3 linked regions of the Oryzias latipes genome follow. The main gene of each other region encodes a partner of the protein of the gene in region 2 in a complex. Links are inferred from orthologs where the notes say so. Each region holds a gene or a part of one and is shown on either strand. Other genes may lie near its edges. The genes, in order: cacnb1, dihydropyridine-sensitive L-type skeletal muscle calcium channel subunit alpha-1 and cacnb2.

The links.
Region 1: dihydropyridine-sensitive L-type skeletal muscle calcium channel subunit alpha-1 (region 2) and cacnb1 share a complex: the UniProt entries of both Homo sapiens proteins name them as parts of the calcium channel complex. The link is inferred for Oryzias latipes from reciprocal best matches to the Homo sapiens genes CACNA1S and CACNB1.
Region 3: dihydropyridine-sensitive L-type skeletal muscle calcium channel subunit alpha-1 (region 2) and cacnb2 share a complex: the UniProt entries of both Homo sapiens proteins name them as parts of the calcium channel complex. The link is inferred for Oryzias latipes from reciprocal best matches to the Homo sapiens genes CACNA1S and CACNB2.

Annotation. Positions count from the first base shown.
Region 1 is NC_019866.2:5,368,056-5,375,734, forward strand, and holds part of cacnb1 (voltage-dependent L-type calcium channel subunit beta-1), read right to left. Parts: intron 6,039-7,679; coding exon 5,980-6,038; intron 5,895-5,979; coding exon 5,785-5,894; intron 5,156-5,784; coding exon 5,147-5,155; intron 3,349-5,146; coding exon 3,197-3,348; intron 1,860-3,196; coding exon 1,764-1,859; intron 1,671-1,763; coding exon 1,485-1,670; intron 138-1,484; coding exon 1-137. UniProt on the Homo sapiens protein: Regulatory subunit of L-type calcium channels. Regulates the activity of L-type calcium channels that contain CACNA1A as pore-forming subunit.
Region 2 is NC_019865.2:11,945,313-11,952,991, forward strand, and holds part of dihydropyridine-sensitive L-type skeletal muscle calcium channel subunit alpha-1, read right to left. Parts: intron 6,796-7,679; coding exon 6,656-6,795; intron 6,504-6,655; coding exon 6,370-6,503; intron 6,243-6,369; coding exon 6,090-6,242; intron 6,013-6,089; coding exon 5,807-6,012; intron 5,729-5,806; coding exon 5,625-5,728; intron 5,529-5,624; coding exon 5,383-5,528; intron 5,299-5,382; coding exon 5,217-5,298; intron 4,439-5,216; coding exon 4,278-4,438; intron 4,188-4,277; coding exon 3,962-4,187; intron 3,850-3,961; coding exon 3,642-3,849; intron 3,066-3,641; coding exon 2,945-3,065; intron 2,839-2,944; coding exon 2,724-2,838; intron 2,638-2,723; coding exon 2,538-2,637; intron 409-2,537; coding exon 339-408; intron 85-338; coding exon 1-84. UniProt on the Homo sapiens protein: Pore-forming, alpha-1S subunit of the voltage-gated calcium channel that gives rise to L-type calcium currents in skeletal muscle.
Region 3 is NC_019878.2:20,087,722-20,095,400, forward strand, and holds the end of cacnb2 (voltage-dependent L-type calcium channel subunit beta-2), read right to left. Parts: intron 6,602-7,679; coding exon 6,506-6,601; intron 5,933-6,505; coding exon 5,741-5,932; intron 4,507-5,740; coding exon 3,814-4,506; 3' UTR 1,461-3,813; downstream 1-1,460. UniProt on the Homo sapiens protein: Beta subunit of voltage-dependent calcium channels which contributes to the function of the calcium channel by increasing peak calcium current. Plays a role in shifting voltage dependencies of activation and inactivation of the channel.

The sequences.
Region 1 (7,679 bases), on a different chromosome or scaffold from region 2:
CGCAGGCACGCCTGCTGTTGGTGATGCTGCTGAGGCTTTCCTCCCAGGTCGCTCTTGTAGTCACGCAGAGTGCTGCTGCCGCCGGATTCTGTTAAGACACCTTCCCTCTTGTGCTCACCGTGCACCAGGTACTGGCCCTGCAGCGAGTCACGGCCATGCCACACAGAAGCCATGCAGAGAGCCAAAACAGCAGAGGTAAGTCAGCATTGTTAGCAAACATAGCAACACACAACAATGGCACATTAGGGCAGCTGTGCAATCAAAAGTGCTATGATCCCACAAAAAAAAACCACACATACACACACAAGCACCAAAATCATGTTTCATATGTTTGAAAACATATCAAGTATGTTTGAAAATCCTGGTTCAAATCTCAGCTGGATCTTTCTGTGTGGAATTTGCACGGTCTCCCTGTGCATATTTTCTTTAGGAACTGCAGAGAAAGCATCCAAAAAAAAATGCTTTATAGGTAAGTTTGTGTCTCTAAGCTGTCCCTAGATGAACATGTGTGAGTCTGTGAAAAGGACTGGCGACTAGTTATGGACAGTAGCTGGGTTATTTCCAGCAGACCTGTGACCCTGAAAGGGATTCAGAGGATGGATGGATTACCTTAATGTTCTTGTTTGATATGGTTAACAGAACAGTAACAACACTGCCATCTGGTGGTTGGAAAAGGTCATTACTAAACCTAAAAACTTTTTTTTTTTACCCCCCCCCCCTTCATGATTTTCACTCTAAAACTGTTCTAAATGGAAATACTGTCCTTTATGTTCTACTTTACAATTGCTTTTTTTTTTTTTACCGATTGTGTAAAACAGTGCAACACAAGTATGTTAATAAGCAAACAATCCTGACTTAGAAGCAGAATTAAAGGTGACTAGCTGTCTATTAGTAGCATTGTTAATCGATTATGCTGGTCAGTTAGAAATGTTTGAGCTTTTCTATCTGAAGAGCAGGAAATGACTTGCTGTTTTCAGGGGCAGTACCATGGCAACGCAGAGGAGGACAGCAAACTGGATTTGGCCTTTCAGAGAAGGAGGGGAGCTGAAAAAATGAGGCCACTGACACGTAGAGGGGAGTGGGGGGCAGATATTATTTTACCTCTGACTGGTGAAAGGGAACGGGGCCCCAGGGGCAAAGGTACTAAGTTCAGTCGTTTGAGGTGTTGCCTTCACAGTTTTAAACAGTCCACCGGTTTGGATCGAGACTACAGATCTGTTCTTCATCTAGCTGTCCCTGTATTTTTGCACATGTGTGTGATTCTTCTCGGCTTCATAACAGCAGAAACCGGGCTTTATTGCACTACTCCTTCTGTCTAGCGAGAGCAGGCTGCAGAGGTCGGTTCAGGTTGCCGGAGTGCCCATCCCACACCGCAACGCCGTGCTTCAGACAGTGTGCTCTTCCTCTTTTCCCTCACTGGCTACAGCACCGTCCAAGTCAGGCCACAGATCCATGTTTCTGCGCAGGGAGGTGAGCACCTGTACCTGCAGGTTGGAGACGGGCTCGGGAGACGCAGCGAGGGCCGCCGTGGCCATAGTACGGTTGAGTAGGGGGTTGGGAGGGTTGCTGCTAGGTGGGTGTGTTGCCTTCCAATAAGCCTCCAGGTAGTCAGCCAGGTGTTCGCATGCGTCCTCCAGCTGGTTCTCATCCAGGATGATGTCAAACAGTTCCTGTGCCACAAACAAAGCAAGTCTTAGTTGGTGTTGCAGAAGCAGAGAATCAAAAATGTCCAAATAAAGTATAATTCCTAAATCAGGACTCACAGGTGGACATTGAGCCAGCTTGTCTGCTGCAACCATCTGAACGTTTAGATGTTTCGCCTGAGACTTTCCTCTGGATTTAATGAGCCTCTGGAGAACCTGCAGCGAGTCAACAGCAACAACTCAAATAGTACCGCATAAAAACAGGAGCTTGAAGCCAAGCTCATTTAAGAATGGGGCGTGGCCATTGGGGTAGGTGAAGCGTTCCAGCAAAAGTTTGTCCGTAAGATTCTAATTCAGCAACCTGATGGATGAGCGTGATGCATACAACGTTGTGGCGATGAGTGCTAAAATACATTTTTACTCTGTGAACTCTTTAAAAATACTGTACTTGATGCAAATATTCCCTTCATATCTCTAAGTGACACCACTATTGGAAAATCTTGTTTCAACTGTGCTCGAAAAAATAACAAGATCATACGTGCCCTGTTTCAGCAAAATGTAATTTCTGTTCCCTCTGCTGTTTTTTATTGGAGAAAATTTATTCCTGACTTGCCGTGGAAAAATGTTTGGACCCTGCATCAGAAATTATTAATTAATAACAAGATGAGAGACGTCTCCTACAAACTCCTACATAGAATCTATCCCACTAATCAATACATGATCAGATATAAGAAGACTATTGACCCCAACTGTACCTTTTGTAAAGAACACCCAGAAACAATCAGTCACCTATTTTGGAATTGTAATACTACTAAAAAACTTTGGAAAGATTGTGCATGTTTTATAAATTATAATTTAGATTCACAACATCAGATGAAATTTGAACATATCATATTTGTCCTACACGAAAAAAATATAAGATCAAACGTAAAATTGGCAATTAATCTAATTATAATATTTGGTAAATTTCATATTCATAAATCAAAGTTTTCTTCATCACAACTTTTTTTCCCTTTAATAATTAAAGAATTAGAATCTTATTTACATACTATTTCTAATAGTTTAAACAAAAAGGCCGTACATATTTATGAAAACTGTCTGTCTCTGAATATTTTCAATGCATAGCATTTGTAATCTTTTTGTAATACATGTACCATCCCCTGACATTGTTGTTGTTATGACTATTGTTCCTGTCATACATATTTGTTCCGTTTGTGTTGAATAATAAAGTTTATTAAAAAAAAAATCCACTCGAAGTACAAAAAAAAAAATAATAAAATACATTTTTACTTTGCCGTGTGTGAAAACAAATACAGGGCTGCAGTACACACTGTCAGAAAGAATGAAATAAAGCATATTAGGCAAACTCAAGTGCTCTTCTTCAACCCGTGACGCTGCTTCATCATATGTAAATTTGTTTTGGGTGTTTTTTATCCCCATTCTTGAAGCTCTCGTTTGAGCACCGGAACAATTTCAACAGCACCAGTTTGGCACCAGATGAAATTCCAAATGGTACCCATCCCTACAAATTAATACCAGACATGAAGGTTTACCTTGGGAGATGCTATTTTGATATAGACGATGATGGGAGCCAGAGAGGTCTTTGCCAGCTGAGTGGGGTGGTTGATGGTGTCTGCATCCAAAGCAACGAGCTGCAGGGTTCGGGCCAGCTCGAAGATGCGCTCAATCTCACTCTGCACCTCAGCTGACAGCACAGGAAAGAGACACAAATAAATAAACAAACAAAAAGTTATTAAAAAGCAGGCTGCTTTTATCTTTAAGGAGATGCAGCTTTGAACAGCAGTTAAATTCTCTTACTTTCTGCATAGTTATTAAACGAACATGTTAGTTCCTCACCGTGCACGTTTGGATTTTTTTTAAAAACAATGACAAAAGCCCACAAGCTTTCAAGGATGTAAATCAGGTTGGACCACAGTTTTAAGTTCCATTTATTCAGAGCTAAATGGAGCACTGGAGCATCTTCATTCAGTTGCCACCTCCAGACATTTCAGATTCTCTTAAGTGCTTCTGATCATTTCTAATTTGAGGTTGTAAAGGAAGGAGGCACTTAGAAATGAGATGCCTGTGGTACTTGAAATAGCTTACAATGAGGGCACAATTCTTCACCATGTAACCAAAACAGAAACAAACAAAATACAGATAAAAAAAACATACAGCATGGGGGGAGAAAACGTTTTTTTGTTAGCACAAATAGGCACAGCAAAATTATTGCATCAGGATAGCCATTCTAGACGGAGGACTTTTTGTTTTCATTGTTCCTCAGCCACAGCCAACCAGAGCTTTTGCATTTCAAGCGTAGTTCCAACATTCATCGAGAGGGAAAAAAATGGCGCCTGACATCATCTGCCGGAAGTGGAAAACATACAACTTACCTTAACCTTAACCCAGAAGTGATCAGAATTGTAAAAATAACATGCATTACAGCTTAAAACTGGAAATATTCTAGGTAAAACTTTATAATAACTATGGGTTATAGCTTGGTAAATTATTAACAAAACTGTAAGTTAACGAGTTATAAATAACTTTGTTAAGGATCTATAAATGTGCCTTTATAACTAAAAATTGATCATGAACAAGCATTTAATAAATTTCTCGACAACGATTTGTTAAGTATTAGGTAATGGCTTATCTGTTACTGGGATGTTGTTTCAAAGTGGAAAACATTCCTCATTTATTAACCGTTAAGAAAGGAGGGACATTTCCAACATTGATACACTGATGACTGTTATTTATAACCCATTAACTAACAGTTTATTCATGATTTATAATAGATGATTTATAATGATTTATAATAGATGATTATTATAAAGCATTACCAAACTGGAACTGGCAGGGTTTGCCAGTTTTTTTTCGAGCGATATGGGGCAGACTTCCGGTTCTGATTCTGGATGTCGATGTCTACAGCCAGGGTTAAACTGACAGCCAGAGTGCCCCTTGCCCTGGGGGTCAAACATCAGCACCTCCAAAGTTGTGCCAACTCAGCAGTGATGACAGATAACAGGCCGTTTAATCGACAGGGGCCCCATATTTCAGAAGCCTCCAGGAGGACTCCAAATTAAAGCTGTCCAGTCAGTCAGTCCAAGTGACAAGAAATGGGAACTTTTAAGGTAAGTAAATATGGATAACAACTGCAATAACTCAAGTTTTAACAGTATATAAAAGGTAAAGTCCAGCTCGTATAGGGGCCATTCAAGAGTCTTACTAAAGACGTACTGTATCCAGACTACTTTTAGGGGTAATTGCAATATGTGGTTTGAACAGCAGCAAGCAGTCGCCCACAGATCTCTGCCTGCGCGGGTTTCGTAATTCTTTCCTTTTTGTTCCAGACTGCAGGCTGTCACTCTGAGGTATGAGGAACAGAGAAACTGACAGGCAAACAGACAAACAATGTATGAGTACATGATGAATATAGTTAGGGGGGGAAAAGCGAAAAGAAGAGGGAGAGAAGCTGCATTGTTTCATTGCACGGAGAGCATACATACCCAGTACGTCTGAATCACAAGACAGAGAAGGAGGAGGAGGAAGAGGAAAGGTTTGGCAGAGTAAGGAGGATGGTTGAAGGGCACAAGAGACAAGATGAAAAGAGAGAAAAGGCCTAAATCAGACTCGATCAGAGGAGTTGTAAAAGCTTACAGGTCTTTTGATGAGGTACATCCTATGCTGTGTCTACCCTATTATGGCTAGGTCCTTAGATGAGTTATAACAAGTTGGATTCAAGGCTCCGAAGAATCCCTTTTTGGCATGTTGATCTAACATCAGCTCCTCCCAAAATGTTCTAATTTCTCCAATTTTTAATCACAAATTCCCCTGTGCCTGAGCAATCAAGTCAAACTGCAAGATGCAGCTACAAAAGCCAAAATAATAAATGTAGATTTGTGCTGAAGTTGGTTTGTGAGAATCAGAAACACATAAAAAATGTCTTTCTTGCTATTTGAATAAGCTGTTTGGAGTCTTATACTTTAAAAAAAAGTGTACCTAAAGAAACAGGGATATGGAAGAGACAGGAAAAGATGTTCAGCAACACGACACAATGAACAAACATCTTTAATTTTCCAGAGTTTCATTTTATAAAAGTTTTCACTGCCAGAAGACGTCTGGTCACCGAAGCGAGGTTTCTTACCCAGGCTGGAGCGAGTGCTGGAGCGCTCGATGATGGTGTGTTTGCTGGGGTTGTTCAGGACTGAACGTTTGGCCAGAGAGATGTCTGCTGTCACCCGCGTGATGGATATTCTGAAACAGAGATCCAGCACTTTACAGGATAAACGTATAACATTACAGGTCATGCATTGTTGAAGCCTTTTTTTTTTTCTTTTACCTTCCTTCAAACTTGTGTTTCAGAAAATCAAAGAGAGCTTTCTGCATCATGTCTGTCACCTATTGGATAACAAAACATTCAAAAACAGACAGCCATTAGTGTAGTTAGGTTCATTAAAAAGCAATAAAAATTTTTTTTTAATATGTTTTTTAGAAAAAAAATAGTTTTTCACATATTTCTTTCACTATAAACACTTATTTATGCAATAATCTTAAATCAGCAAATAATTTTCTGACTCAGCTATGTCTATTTTAAAAGATAGGTTTCTCCTAAAAAGCAAAAACACAAATTGAATAAAGTGTAAATATACCCGGCACTCACGATAAGTAAGGGATACTGTGAAAAACTTAGAGGATGTTGTAAAAAGTGTTTCACTTTACAGATTTTCAGGATACGGAGGCAATTGTATTGGAGTGGTGAACACTTTATTTAGGGTTTTTTTTCACATAATGACCTGACTGTGTTCATTGTCTTACTTAAAAGCAAAACAACAAAAATTCTAAAAGAAAATCCTTTTCAATGTGGCATCAATTTCAGCATTCTAGGGATGTAAAAAGCTGATTTTACCAGTAAGTCATTCCATCATCATCATTCAAACAGCCATGAGCATCGCTTAATGGATGAGCAGCACCATCTATCTGGCGATGGCGCGCCTTCAGGTTGGTACAGCATGCAGTCAGATGTGAAGTCAGGTGACCTTGTCTTCAAGTGTCATCAGCAGACTTCCATCAAGACTCGGAACTACTGGCAGAGTTTGTGAAAAAACACAGCCATGTTCTGCACACAGAAACACCACGCAGTTGCTGGCCCGTTTACCAGATGTGAGGGGTACCAGAGTTTCTGGAACATTCACAACCAACTCCACTGCTTTGACTGGAATGTAAAGGGTTTGCCATCCTAAATGAAAGCTTTTTTTTACTTTTATGCAATTAATAACTCATTGATTAGTACATTTTGCTTACATTAACCCACTTATGGAATCCTAAGGAAATGCAAGCCAGTTAAAACCAGTTAGGTATACATGATCTTACTGGCAGGAGCAGAGGGCACCGACACAGACCACTAAAAACGTAGATTTGGTGAAGACGACCATTTGACGTATTAAGGACTATTGGAGGTTTCTCCAATAGTCTCCAATGGAGGCCAGACATTGGCCTGAAGCCACCCTGGGGGGCCACCCTGGAGGATATATCTGTGGGATCCATTCTACTGAGTCTCATGGAGATAATCCCGATAAGCCTTCCTCACAAATGCCAGACAACCATTGCAGGTGACTCCACTGACAGCAAGACAGGGCCGTGTAAGTTTGCAGCGGACACAAGACCATGTGACCTGGACAATGCAGCAATGGTCTTCCATCATGTTCACTGATGAGTTTGGGGTCACCCTACCCAGAAATGATGGTCGTCAGCATTGTTAGAGAAGGTGAGCTTTGGTGGAGGAGGAGCAACATTCTGGGCAGGCATCACCAGTTGGAGATGGTTCAGTCACTGCACGCTCCTACCTCAGAGACATCATAGAACCACCATCATCCCCCAATTCCCCCAGGACACCCCCAACTTTCTGTTCATGGATGATAACACTCCACCACATGGTGCCAGAATTGTTACAGCTGGACTTCAGGAAGTCGGAGTGCCTCATATGATGCGGTTAGCAATTACCCCTGAGCTGAACCCCATAGAGTACGTCTGGGACCAGCT
Region 2 (7,679 bases):
CCGCTTCTTCCTTCAGCTGCAGGTCTGCCATTGGTCGAGGCCGAGGGCTTAGGGGGATTGCAGGTTCTTCCTCCTCATCATCACCTAAAAAGCAGAAAAACAGACTGCAGAACAATACCAGCACTTCAACTTGCATTGAATAAAACACTAAATCAAAGATTGGGGAGAGGATTTTCAGACTGTACGAATTATGATGGTTGTCACTCAATGGACTTAAAAACAGCTTTAAAATTCTCAGCACACAACCCAAGGAGCTGGTTGAGATCAACTGCCCTGATTTTTACCTGTCAGCAACATTAAAACAATAAATGAAGAGGAAGACAAATGAACTGGTTTACCTGGAAAATCATCAGGTGGAAATGGATCTTTCACTTCATTGACATTGGACTCAAATTCATCGACTTTAAGCTGAAAACAAAAAACAGTATAAAGTTATAATCCTTTAGCACAATCTACAGTGGTATGAGAAAGTTTGGGCACCCCTGATAATTTTCAAAATTTTTCTTCATAAATCATTGGTTGTTTGGATCATTAATTTCAGTGAAATATATCATATAGCAGATGAACACAGTGATACTTGAGAAGTGAAATGAAGTTTATTGGATTTAAAGAAACTGTGTTTTAATTACTTAAACAAAAATAGGCAGGTGCGTAAATTTGGGCACCCCAACAGAGACATGCCATCAATATTTAGTAGATCCTCCTTTTGCAGAAATGACAGCCTCCAATCGCTTCCTATAACTTTCAATAAGGGCCTGGATTCTGGTTGAAGGTATTTTGGACCGCCCGCTTTAAATCACACCACAGATTTTCAATAATATTCAGGTCTGGGGACTGAGATGGCCATTCCAGAACATTGTACTTGTTCCTCTGCATGAATGTCTTTGTAGAATTAGAGCAGTGTTTAGGGTCATTGTCTTGTTGAAGTATCCAGCCCCGGCGCAACTTCAACTTTGTCATTGATTCTTGAACATTGTTTGTAAGAACCTGCTGATACTGACTGGAATCCATGCGACCTTCAACTTTGACAAGATTTCCAGTACCTGCACTGGCCACACAGCCCCAAAGCATGATGGAACCGCCACCAAATTTGACTGTGGATAGTAAGTGTTTGTCTTGGAATGCTGTGTTCTCTGTTTGCCAAGCATACCGCCCCTTGTTATGTCCAAATAACTTCATTTTAGTTTCATCAGTCCACAGCACCTTATTCCAAAATGAAGCTGGCTTATCCAAATGTGCTTTAGCATACCTCAAGCGACTCTGTTTATGGCATGTGCGCAGAAAAGGCTTCTTCCGCATTACTCTTCCATACAGCATCTCCTTGTGCAAAGTGCGCTGAATGGTTGACCGATGCACAGTGACACCGTCTGCGGCCAGATCACGTTGTAGGTCTTTGGAGCTGGTCTGTGGGTTGAGTTTGATTGTTCTCACCAACCTTCGCCTCTGCCTATCTGAGATTTTTCTGGGCCGGCAACTCCGGGCCTTTGCTTGAACTGTGCCTGAACTTCCATTTTCTCACTATATTCCTCACAGTGGAAATTGAGAGCTGAAATCTCTAAGCAAGCTTTTTGGATCCTTCACCTAAACTATGATGATGAAATCTGACAGCTGTTTTGAGTATGGAAGCGATTCTGTAGCATAATTAAAAATAAAAGTCAAAACCAGAAATGCTTTTTCATTTTCAAAATGACGCTGCATTTTTTGACCCAAAGTTAAAATGAAAAGGCATTCCTTCAAAATGCTTTTTCCTTTTACAACCATCACAAAGCCGTCTCCTCTGCTGCTAACACAAAGCTCCACTGCTCCAAGCATCTCTGTGTCTCTTAGCAGCCGGACAGACGGAGAAATCAGTGACGTCATCGCCCTGCCTCCTCGCTGGAAATGCTTTTTCGAATTGAATATTTGCGACAATGTTCGCAGGGTGGATGTTAAAATGAAAATGCAATCCCCTCTTTGTATTTTCGTTTTTAATTATGACACAGAATAAGCGGAATTAAAGTTTAAAATGAAAAAGCATTTTGGTGGATTGCTTTTTCATTTTAATTTTGAGTCATTTGATGGAGTTACATTTTGAAAATGAAAAAGCATTACTGTTAATCCATTTTAATTGTCAAATTAGACATTTCTAAATGAATTTTGCTACACATTTACCAGAGAACTTTTTGAAAATGAAATGTCAAATACCATTTTCTTTATCGTTTTAATTAAGTGACAGAATAATCAATGTCGAAGAAGAAACTGAAAAAGCATTTTAGCGGATTGTTTTTCATTTTAATTTTGAGTCAAAAGTTCATTTTGAAAATGAAAAAGCATTTCTGGTTTTGACTTTTATTTTTAATTATGCTACAGAATCGCTTCCATAATAAACTTCATTTGCTTTCTCAAATATCACTGTGTTTTGTCTGCTATATTATATATTTAATTGAAATTGATGATCCAAACAACCAATGATTTGTGAAGAAAAATCTTGAAAATTATCAGGGGTGCCCAAACTTTTTCATACCACTGTATGTTTTACAACATCACCCAACACCAACCTTGGCGGTGGTGGGCATGCCCTCCAACTTGGCCCTCTGTTCTGCCAGTTTCTTAGCAATCCTTTCTCTTTCTTCGTCCGTCTTCTCTGGCATTTTGGACCTGGGTGTAAATCCCAAAAATAAATGAAATTTGCCAATGCAAAAACATAACTCTTCCTTTAACTTGTGTTTTAATTGTTTAACCACCTCAGCAGCTTCTTCTTCATCTTCTCTTCTGCCTTTTCCTTCTGAGCTGAAGTCAGACTCTCAGCCTCTGCCAGGTTGTCAACGGCGATGGCCAAGAAGACATTCAGGAGGATATCTGGTTACACTGAGTTCAGGAAAATTAGAACCGTGGCCATCAAAAAAGCTGCCATGCTTATCATTTTTAAGTTTGAAAAGAGATTTATGACTAATTCTCAGGATACAATTTCCACAGACGAAAAGGATGATGAAAAAAATGGAAACCAGGATGCCAGGTATGACAGGCCCTCCGTAAGCCATAATACCATTGTTCATAATGATGGTCCATTCTTCTCCAGTCAGAATCTGAGGGAAAATTACATATTAAAAAACATTTGCAAACTAAAATGACTTTTGACATTAAACTCTATCTAAAAGATCTACTCCAGTGAAATTAATGTTTTTGGTGTTTTTAACATGTCCTTGTGGCATTTTTCTCATGAAGGACACATATATATGAAGACAACTAAGCTCTAATTTGTTTTTCTTATTATTTCTTTATTCAAATAATTGGGAATCAGGAGCAAATGAAAAAATTGCCATTTGATAAAGAGCTTATTTGTGATGTAGAAAATATAATGGGCGGGCCACAAGCTCCCTGCTCCGAACTCTCAGAAAACAGGGAGGGGAAGGGGGGCGGAGTTTCTTCACACCAACAGACCATCCCTCAACTCAGAGGCGAATTTCTAATGAACTACTGCTGCTCTGCAGACAACGTCCTAGAAAACGATACAGCTTTTTAAATTTTGGCAAAAATGTGCAAAACCATAATTAAAAGACCACTGAGAACACTTCAACAATAGATAAAAAAGATTTTTGGAGTGGGGACTTTAAAACCAACAAAATAGTGTTCAATGTCAAAACACTGTCAGTCTTCCTCACCTGAAATACACTGATCAGTGCCTGAGGGAAGTTGTCAAAGTTACTGCGAGCGGGTCGGTTGTGATCAAAGTTGAATTTCCCTCCAAACACCTGCATTCCCAGAAGGGAGAAGATGACAATAAAGAGAAAGAGGAGGAGGAGAAGGGAGGCGATGGAGCGGACAGAGTTGAGAAGAGAGGCCACAAAATTGCTCAGAGAAGTCCAGTACCTAAAAATTGTAAACAGATGTTACATATTAACACATCAAAGTATAAAGGGAAAACTGTAGAGGAGTCTGAACATGTTCAACTTCTGCTAAAATGTCAAAGAGTTCGACTTACTTAGTAACTTTGAGGATCCTTAGGAGCCGTATGCACCTGAGGACAGAGAAACCGAGCGGAGCTACTGCTCCTGCAGACAGCATGATCATCTCCAGGATGCCGCACAGCACCACAAAGAAGTCAAAGCGATTAAACAAGGACATGAAGTATGCTCTTGGTCCGAGAGCATACAACTTTACAGACATCTCAAGGACAAAAAGCACCAGCAGTCCACGACTGGCCACATCTGTTGGGATGAAAGAGGACAAGAACAACATGAAACTGAGATGGGAGGAGATGAAAAGGGAAAAAGGTGTCCGGTAGTCCAAACACCAACCTTGCAGAGTAGTAAGAGATTTAGGTTGATGATGATACTCTGTGGCAATAGTCAGAGTGTTGAGGAAGACGAGGAACATCACCAGCCAGTAAAAGCCCTTCGTCTTCACATACACCAGACATTTCATCCTGAAAAAACGATTCCAACGACGGGCCAGGCGGCTAAACACAGAAAAAAAGCAGCTCATTGTGGGGCTTTTTTTGAGTTGGTCTATAATATTCCTGCTCTCCCAGTGATGCACACATTACTTCTGTCTTTAAAAGACATCAATGACTTTAAGTTTTTCTGTTCTAATTCTGTGTTGTTATTGTTGTTGAAGTAACTAACATATCAATTGTCCAATAACAGATAATCCAAACAGGGATTTGGTATCATCTGCTTCTATCCTCTCACTGCTGCAATGAATAATTTATCTTCTCTGCCTAATACCAGACGTAAGTTTGTCAAATATGCTACATTTGGTATTAACATATGTCTTTTAATTTCTAACAGATGTTCAGTGACTTTGTATTCACGCACTTCCTTATTCCTAACTGCTGCAATGACTAACTTATTTCCTTTGCAGATTGTTGCCCTACTGACCTTTGTTTCACTGAAGGACAGCCTTTGTAATTTTCCAAACTAGGATTTTTTTATATCTCTACTGTCTCCTTTTGTTAGCTGATTACAGGGACTCCATCAAAATTCCTTCAATGTAATCGGTTGGTCACTCATACAAGACATTAGTATATAAGTGAGATAATCGGTCATTATTTGAATTATCTGGATTGAACTGGATTAGAAATATTACATAGAAAAATGTTTTGTTTGATGTTTTTGGTGTTTTTATCTAATATAACCTTGGTTCTGAACTGGAGCGTTGTTAAAAAAAAGGGGGAAACAAGAATCTAATTGATTTTGTATTCTAACTTGTGTATGATCACAGAACAGAGGACTCACTAGTAGTAGATGATGCGACTTTTGCCCTCCAAATCATACAGGCTGTCTGTTTCAGAGTCTCCGTTGGTCAAAGGTAGGAGACCTGAAAGACCAAGACAACCGTTTTTAATCTGATGCAGTGTTTGCATTAGCAACAAGGGTGCTGCTGTTTGCCTACAGATCTGACCTTTGCCCTCCCTGTCTGCATCCAGGACTTCAGCATGGGTGATCCATTCCATGTATCCATGGAGGTCCTCGTCCAGCTGCTGTCGCTCCCGCAGTTTCTGGAACTCTCCTCTTGACCTGGCTTTCTCTCGCTCTTTAGTGAACTCTCTGAGTGGAATCGAGTGGTAAAAAAGCATGATTCATTTGTTTGACTGGACAACCCACAGATCAGAACAGTTAAGAAAAAAATAACAGCAGTCTTACCCGCTGAGCACGCCCAGAACGAGATTGAGCACGAAGAAGGAACCAACAAGAATGAGAGGAACAAAATACACCCATGGCCATTCATTTCCTATGGCATCATTAACCTGAGAAGATATTTAAGAACATCAGCCAGGAGCTCACGACTCACATCAAACCGAACACTAGTAAAAACCTGTACTAACCCAGTAGAGGACCTTGGTCCATCCCTCCATGGTGATACACTGGTACACAGTCAGCATTGCAAAACCAATGTTATCAAAGTGGGTGATACCATTGTTGGGACCCTCCCATCCAGGGCGACACTCTGAGCCGTTGATGGAGCAGCGGCGTCCGTTACCAGCCTGAGCGCACGGAGCAGGCAGCTCCCCTTCCGCTGTGGCATAGATGTCTGTGCACAAAAGAAAACAACAAACACTGAAAACAGGACCAGAGTGAGCATGTTGAGGGAAGTTCTTCTATACTTACTTGTGCCTGTGTAGTAGCAGGTCTTGTGCATTTTGCACTTAAAGAGCTCCAGCCCCATGATGGCATAGATGGTGACCAACAAAAAGACCAGCAGGGCAATGTGCACCAAAGGCAGTGTGGCTTTGAGGATGGAGTTCATGACCACCTGTAGGCCTTGAAAAGGGGTTATTTAAATTAAATGTAAATCTCAGTAAGCTTTGATTGCAAAGAACATCCATATGGTTTAGATAGTACAAAAAAAGCAGGGCCAGTTTTTGGGAAAAGGAGTGCAAGGTCTTACTGGGGACTCCAGAGACAAGGCGAAGGGGCCTCAGCACCCTGAAGGCTCTTAGAGCCTTCATGTCAAATCCTCCACCCTTCTCTGTTGGTACTCCTGCGATCATATTGATGGTATCCAAAGCAAAGGTGAACAAGCTGCCCAAGTGAACAAGCAAGCACAAAAGACAAAAAGAAGGGAAGTTTTAAAGCTGGCACTCTCAGAATCCACTTTTTTTTTTTAAATTTCAAAAAGTGGCTCTGCTCTTTGGCATTAGAGTCCTCTAGCTGCAGCTCAGAGCTCAGCTTACCCCATGAAGACGATGACGAAGTCCAATATGTTCCAACAGTTCCGTAAATAGGCCCCTTCGTGGAACACGAGCCCATACGCCACAATCTTCAAGAAGCACTCCAAAGTAAAGATGATCAAGAAGATATACTCCAGACTCTCCTGCCGCAGGACATATCGAGCATTTCAATTTTAATGAAAAAGTTCTTACATTCAACTCTCAAATTTCCTTTTTCCCCCTCTGGTCAAGCATCATCTGTTTGTATTATTTTCAGTCTTTACTTAAATTTAAACAATATGTGAATTTATTATCCTGAAAGAAATCAGAACTATGTTCTCCTGAGTTACAGTTCTGATGTTCAACAGGAAATTAGATGATCGGTTGTACTAAATGAAATAAATAAAATCTAACACATATTACATGTCCACACATATTGTATTTACTTAAAGCCTATAAATGGATTAAATTCAGTGGTGATACGTGAAGCAACCATTCCTCCAATCATCAACTTCACAAGATAACAAACAGATGTTTCCATTCCTTTTTTAGAGGTAAAATAAAAAAAAGAAAGAAAGCAAAAAGTCAGACAATATTGAAAAGAAAAGGATTACTGCAAATTCTGTACATGAAATGCTGTTTCCAACACGTTGAAAACCAATCAGGTCTAAAACTTTGACCCATTTAGAGAATCCATCTGCACCCTGACGGTAAATCCAATTCACTCAGTCTGTAAGCCAATACGGCTGTAAAATTACTGAAAAAAAGCAAGCATCTGTCAGCTTATGACCCATCTCAGCCTTTCTGTAAACAGGCCTTGTCACACCAATGCTACTGATACCGCCTTGGCTGACCTACATCTGACAGCAACAGAGGAGTGAACCCTCTCTTCTTTCATTTTCCCTTCGAAGGAATGTCCTGTAATGTGTGTAAGAAAGCTTTGGGGGGCGGGGTTACAGTAAAAAGAAATGTCTTAATGTGTTTATGGTTTTTATTTAGAACAAAATACATCAGCTGATATCTTATTATTCTGGACTTTCTTGGCAGA
Region 3 (7,679 bases), on a different chromosome or scaffold from region 2:
CAGGAGGAAGTCACGTTTTTTCACAATAAAAGCATGTGTTATTGAAATCTTGAGCTGTAAATGCCTTTTTTGTATCATTTAGAAGCACCTTATGCATATTATACATTACTTTCTAGTTCTTAATATTGTTGCCATCAGTCAACATGAATTCATTTTCCACATTTTCAGTGTATTTACCAATAGAATCTAGAAAAAAATCTGCTGTCAGTTATTACTTGTTAATGCAAAAGTGATTTTTCATCCAAATATGAACAACATAAAACCTATTTTTGGAACGCTCTGGACTAAATAATTGAAAAACATTTCCTCCAATTTTCAAAATTAAAGCTTTGTTAAAATATTTAAAAAATAGCGATGACCTTGCAGATGTTACCAATTGAGTGGAAAACACCAATCAACACTCATAGCCAATAGCTGACTAAACAGATCTTAAAACATTTAACTGACACCATTAGCTCATAAAGATGAACTAATGGTGTTAAGATCTGTTCAGTCAGCTGTTCTCCACTAATGTTTAAGATGTGTAGTGAGTTTCTCCGTGAGAATATAGGCGTAACACATGGCTTATAGGAGCACATTCATTCATCTTCTTCCCTTTTATCCCTTTTCGGGGTCACAGGGCTGCTGGAGCCTATCCCGGCCACAAATGGGCGAAGGGAGGGGACACCAGTCACCAGGTCACCAGTCTGTCACAGGGTCACACATATCACACACCCATGCACACTCACACCTATGGACAATTTGGAGTGACCAATTAACCTATGAAGTATGTTTTTGGACGGTGGGAGGAAGCCAGAGTCCCCGGAGAGAACCAACGCATGCACGGGGAGAACATGCAAACTCCACACACAAAGGTCCCCCATTGATGTTCTGTTTCAGGTCCCCCACCCGGGACTTCTTGCTGTGAGGCAAGAGCGCTAACCACTGTGCCACCGTGCATCAATGGCGCTCTTATTATCACTTCTGCTATCCCAGGCACTTTAACGTTGGGAGTTGGGTCATCTAGACCCACTAGACAGTGCTCTGAACCTTTTTTCTTCAATGATTTGTGATCTTCACTGGTGTCCATGGATTACATGAAATCTTTCCACCTTTATCCACCTTTGTCATGGTAGGTAGAACACGTCAAAGTAAGGGTGGGGTCATCTAAGATAGCGCAAGGGTTAAAGGAGCACATGACTGACCAAATCAGTCAGCCTTTCTTGATGTCTTGATTTCTTTTCCATTTTTCTCTTCTTTGGCAGTGCCTTCTCGTGAAGCCCATTTGTGTGTGTGTGTGTGAAGACTCCTCTTCCCATTTTAGACGCATCTCCCGGTATTGCCATTCATCTCAGTGTTGTCATGACGACTCAGGCGGCGGGCGGGCGGGTCTACCTCAATTTTTCAGCAGCTTCTGGTGACTATTTATAGAAGCTGCATCCCGCCTGTTTCTGGGCGTTCTGACAAAGCACACATCCGACGACTGTGTCATCAGGTTTATTTTGTTGCCAACTTTATTCTTTATGTAACTTTATGTACATACACATGTACACTGTTAAAAATCCGTAGCGCTACAAATGTAGCATAGAAATGGGGGGTTTGGAATGACACTTTTGGGGCATATAACAAAACAAAAAACTGTCGGGTCGGTGTGTACGGTAACCTAAGCAGAACCAGGCATGGTTTAGGTTTTTTTAGTGTCTGCGTCCACCTGCTCCTGGCTCTGCAGGTGGTGGTGATGATGATGGTGGTGATGATAGAGACAAAATCAATCAAAGCTCTCAGAATATCCCAAACCCACTGATGTGCTATAAATAGATCCTGTGTGTTAGTCAGTGGAGGAGGGAGATGGCAGAAAGCTTGAATGAAACATGTTCAAGTGGTAAAAAATTTAATCATTTTAAAGCTTATTCTGTAAATTTATCTTTTAATGTAAAAAAAAAAAATCATTCATAACGTTCTTTGAACAGAGAAGAAGAGAGGGAATCAAGTGGAAATGAAACATTCATTAAAAAAGGGGATTGGTAAGAGGAGAGCCGCAGTGCAGTTCTGCAGACAGACCTACAGAGAGTGGAGAATCATATCAAACCACTTTCACTTGAAAACCAGTGTTAATCAGTAAGAATAAAGGGTGTAACGATGCTAGAAAAAGGGTTTTTGGATCCACTTTAAAGGGCAGTTTCGGCATGTCAGACAGAGAATTTTGCTTTGAACTTGAGCGTCTTGTAAGGCAAGACTAAGGTCCCAAAAGAGGCCTTTGAAAACTAAAGTTTGAATCCTGGGAAACTAAAGAAGAAAAAAGAAATTAAAGGAGTAGTCTGACAACTTGGGAAGACCACTTTTCTGCTGGGATGAGACATCTTAAACGGTTGTAATCTATGAGGCTACAGTCAGCAGCTGCTCACATGCAGCTAAGCTTTCCAATTATAATGTGATCATCTGTAGAGTAGATTTATAATGCAGTAAAGAAATACAATCTAATATCAGCGGGAGTTTTTTTTTTTTTTTTTCTGGTCTTAGCACAGCTTTCCGTCACATTTATTATTCAAACAGGACACCAGTCTCAATCTAGTTACTGCATCAGCAACCCTGGAACTAAAGTCCTGCTCCAAATACATGGAGATTCTTGAACTTTGATTGAAAGGCTGTGTCACACAGCCACAATGAAAATTGGTCATACACAAATATACGAGGAAAAGGTGAGAAAAGTTGTGGACTTCACGTAAAATTTTCTCAGATATATCACACGTGAACCACGTTGAAACCATGGAAGAAGTACGAATACATCCGGCAAAGAACACGTAAATCATTGTAAGAGCCATTTCTGGCCCAAAACTCATGTGTTACGTAATTCTAACGTGATGTAAAATTTATACTTGCAGAAAAATCAGTTAGACTTAAGTGGAAAGGTCGTGGAAAGCCGCAAACTTTCTTATGCATCTTGCAAAAATCACACACAATTGTGTAAAGATTTAAGCAGTAATTGTGTAAAAAACTACATAAAATACGCATAAACTGCTGAACAGCTTAAAACCGAATTCACATAAAGACCTGTTGGTTGAAACCCTTGACGGACAAACGCAATAAACACTTATTACGTATATCACGCATGTGTTCCGCATGTGGAAAAGGCACAACATGACAAAATGTACTTAGTGGCTGTGTGACACGGCTTGAAAATGAGTTCTTTTAAAGGTGCAATTTGTGATTTACAATTGTTTTGATGGACACGGTTTATTTATATTCCTTTTTCGGGTAAAAAAATAATTCAGAAAAAGCCAAAAACATGCTGCAGACCCTTTCAAAATAAAGTAGCCCATATGTCTCTTCAGCACAACTTAGGTTCAGTTTCGTAAACCGTGTAAAATCGGAGCGAGTGAATTTCCCAAATTGCCAAACTAATCTCTGAATACAAACTAGGTCAGCGGATAAACCATTGCAGTAGTCTAAAGGGGGGAAAAAATTCAAGTGGTAGCGAGCAAAAACAAAGAATATCGATAAAAATGATCAAAATTGTTTATGCTAATCACAGAAAGCACAGCTCACAACAGAAAAAAATCTGCTTTTCTGTCATGCTTTATCAAACACAGGTTCAAAGAATGCATATTTGAGAATATTCACGCATATCCAGGCATAAACAAAGTCTATGCATAGATACACACATGTATGTTTATATTTTCATGGTCAAAATCCTGCAAACAGCAGCTTTTACAAAGACGTGGACATAAATAGGGCGTTGTGCCGCTTAAGGGGATAGCAGAACAAAGGAAGAACAGAACAGAGTTTGGTCTGGACCACTCCCCCGCCTCGCCCCTTTTTGAGGGGGGCCACCGCTCAGTCCTTCTCCCTGCCGCGGTCATAGTAGTGGTGGTGGTCGCGTGTCGGCCGGTGGTGGTGGTGGGAGCGCTGCTTGTTGCGTTCGTTGTGGTCCTGCTCGCGCTCTTTGGAGCGCTGCTGTCCCGTGCCATGGCCGCCTTCCTCTGCCCCGCTGCGGTGGTGGTGGTGGTGGTGATGGTGGTTGTGGTCCCGACTGGGCAACGGCTCATAACGCTGTTGCCTCTGGGGGTGGCCTTCCCCAACGTCCACATCGTCCTCCTCCTCTTCCTCGTCCCGGTGGTGCGGCTGCACCCGTGGCTCATTGTGAGCCGAGTTTTTGCTTTTGCGGCTGTCAGGAGTCTCTGAGTCCAACGTTTCCTGCCGAGAGAGGCCCCGGGCCCTGCCGCTGTGGTGGTGATGATGATGATGGTTGTGTTGCTCAGTTCTGGAGGAAGACGACCTGTGGTGGATGTGCTGGGCTCTTTTGGAAGACTCTGTCCTGAGGGGCCTGTCTTCCTCCTCTTCTTCTTCCGCCTCCTCCTCCTCCTCCTCGTTTCCCTCCCCGTCTGCCTCCACGTCTGCATCCGCCTGCTCCTGACTCTGCTGGTGGTGATGATGATGGTGGTGGTGGTGATGATGGTGCTGATAGTCTTCCTTGGAGCTCTTCCTCTCAGCTGGCGCTCTGTCTCCTTTCTGCTCCGTGCTGTTGCTCTGGAGCGACAACACAACCGTCAGCAAACGGAAAGAAACCAACAAAAACCAACAAACGAAATCACCGCACACTCAAAAACTCATTTTCCTATAAAGTCACACACAGACACACACAGAGGTAAATCAGACCCAAAGAAGACTCGAGTTTGGTCTTGGAGGCATGCAGAGCTTCACCCTTCAACACACACTTACCAAACTAGCAAATACAAGCTCATTCCTGCTCTTCATCATTCTCAGCATTGTCTTCCTCTACAGTCTTACATTTCCCGTTTTGAGTGCAGGGGAGGGCAGAGGTACAAGTTTTAAACACACTTTTACACTAAAATGTTTTATCATAGGGTGAATATCACAAAGGTAGACAAAATGATAAATAAACACATTTTTTTCATGACTATGATTATGCCGTTTTTAGACCAAATCAAAAAGTCGTCTAGGACGTAGTTTCTGCAGAGCGGCAATAGTTCCTTCGAAATTTGCCTCCGAGTTGTGGGCAGGACCGTCAGAGCGGCGCAACCCCATCGTTGTTAGCGGGAGTTTTTAGGCCCACCCAGCTTATTTTTTACAACACATATAAGTTATTTATTGAACAGATTCACAACAATTAGAATAAACAAATACTCTGGAATGCAATTTGGAGCTTCATTTTCTTTATATATGTCCTCCATCATCAGAAAAAAATCCACGATGTTCATCAGAGTGGGTATTTAACTGCTTTGTATTACTCTGCCATTCATGAACATTTATATACTAAACAGGACCGTTTTTGACTTCCACTCTAGAAGGTCTTTCTAAAGAAAGGCCTTTCTTATGCTAGGGGCTTGAATCTTTACGATTTGGAGCAACTATAATGTCAAGAAGACAGGATTATTTTCTTTCATTTATTTTCTAATCAAATCATAAATTAACCTGTTTTAATATATCTATGTATTCTTTTGTCTTTATTGCTGAAAATTGCTTGAAATAAACCAATCGATCTCCTCTAGTACCAACTTGTGAGTATAAATGTGTATTTTTTTAATTATTTTTTCCTTTAGACTTATTTCTTTTTATTTATGTTGTCATTTAATTCTATGCGTTTCTGTGTAATTATTCCTTCTGTCATAAAAAAAATAGTAACAGTTTAAGCATTTGGATGAAGATATTCATTACTCTGGACTTTTAGTACTTGGAAAATATACGATAAAATAGCACTATCACTGGTTTCCCAGAATTCCCTTTGTGCACACACCTGTACCTGCACTCCGGAGTTGGGGGCCTGGCTGGAGGGCAGTGCGGCGGTGGGCTGCTTTGTTAGCTGTGGATCGGGCGGGCTGTTACTGCTGCTGCTGGTGGGATGTGTGCTCTTCCAGTACGCCTCCAGGTAATCTGCCATGTGCTCGCAGGCATCCTCCAGCTGGTTCTCGTCCAGGATGATGTCAAACATCTCCTGGAAGAGCGAGATCGTTTAAAGAAAAGGAGAAAAATCCCCCCCAAAAAACTCAGTTTTAAGCTGCAAAAGAGGCCTACAATGATCTTTCTGATGCATACACAAAATGTCAGAGCTATATTTAAACGAACGGCCCGCAGAGTTAATAAAACACCGCTAGCTATTAATTTTCAGGAAACTTTAAATGGTAATTCCCTCAAGAAATTGGCTTAAATTAAGCTTGAACTTTTCCCATCCTGAGGGTGCTCACTTCGTTTTCTAAAATGTTAATTAATCGGATTACAGAAGAATGAAAATAGAACTGTCTGGAATTCTGAAGCTTTGACCTCAAGAGAAAGTAGAAAAAAAATGATTTTAAAAAGACTAAGGCTCTAAATGAGAACAATTGGACTTTTACGCAAAATTTAAGGCTTTAACCGTGCAAAAACGTTTTTCCCTGGAAGAAGAACACTTTGAGGAGCTGATTGATCAAAGTGTCTCCAGTTGACCTGAACAAATCAAAGAAACCCTGCAGGTCTTCTTTTTTTAAATTCTAAATAGGGCAAAAGTCAGGGGTCCGGTTAGGAGACTCACAGCAGGGCACTGGGCCAGCTTATCAGCGGCCACCATCTGGACGTTGAGGTGTTTGGCCTGAGACTTGCCTCGGGACTTGATTAACCGCTGCAGGACCTACGGCAAATGAGGACAGGAGGAGACAGGGGTCAAGACTGCCATAAACAAAAACGAAATCAACATTTTTGTACTTTGTATAAACAATTTCTGAAAGTCATAAAGGTAAAACAAACAGGTTCTGTGGGACTTCACGCCATGTTGAGCAGATCCAACAAAAAAAGCCAACAAAAAAAACCCCTACCATTGTGAATTTTATTTCAATTTCTGATTAGATTAGTTGGAGTCATTTTATGACATTTAGCTCAGTTTATTTATTTAAGGTCTTTCAAACATGTTTTAAAAACCACAACAGATTAATCAATACCCTGACTGATAACAATTTACAAGAAAAAAGTTGTAAAATTATGGAAAAAACAGTAAAACGAGTCAAAACTTTCAAATAACTTCAAAGTCATAAATTGAGAATTTAGCAGATTAAAGCCATAAATTTATTAGGCAAAAGTCAGTTTATTAAGAAAATATTGTATAAACAACAAAAAAAGAAACAATAGGGTGTGTCTGCATGAGAGACTTTCATATTGTAAGGTTTAAATTCTTTCACACAAAAAGAAAATAGTAAGTCTGTTAGTGAGTTTAGATTGTATTATTTTAAGTATAAGAACATTGAAAAAAAATATAGGCCTCCTCAGAAAAGGACTGTGGATGGAGGCTGACACAACCAACTATATTTTGAATAAAGCATGGCTTTTCCCTGTAAAATTATGACTTTTTTCCACAGAAATTTACGACTTTATTCTCGTAAAATTACAATTTATTTTTTTATTATTTTATGACCGTTATTTTTCATTTTTATGGAGGCCCTAGTTCTCCGTTGTCGGAGACTGTTTTATTTAAATGTAGTTAAATTTTGATGGAATATGAGAATCAAAGTCTCAGGTTGTTAAGGTTTGTATCATACGGATTATAACGTTTAATCATTTGCCCTCCTAAAGCAGTAATGGAACCAACTCCAGGCCGCCCATGAGCAAGCAGAGGTCTGGCATTGGATAAAGACGGAGAAGGATCTCTGAAAAAGTTCAAAAACAGTCCTACAATTCATGTTTGCTGTGAAAAATGTCCTTCCATCGGATTTGAA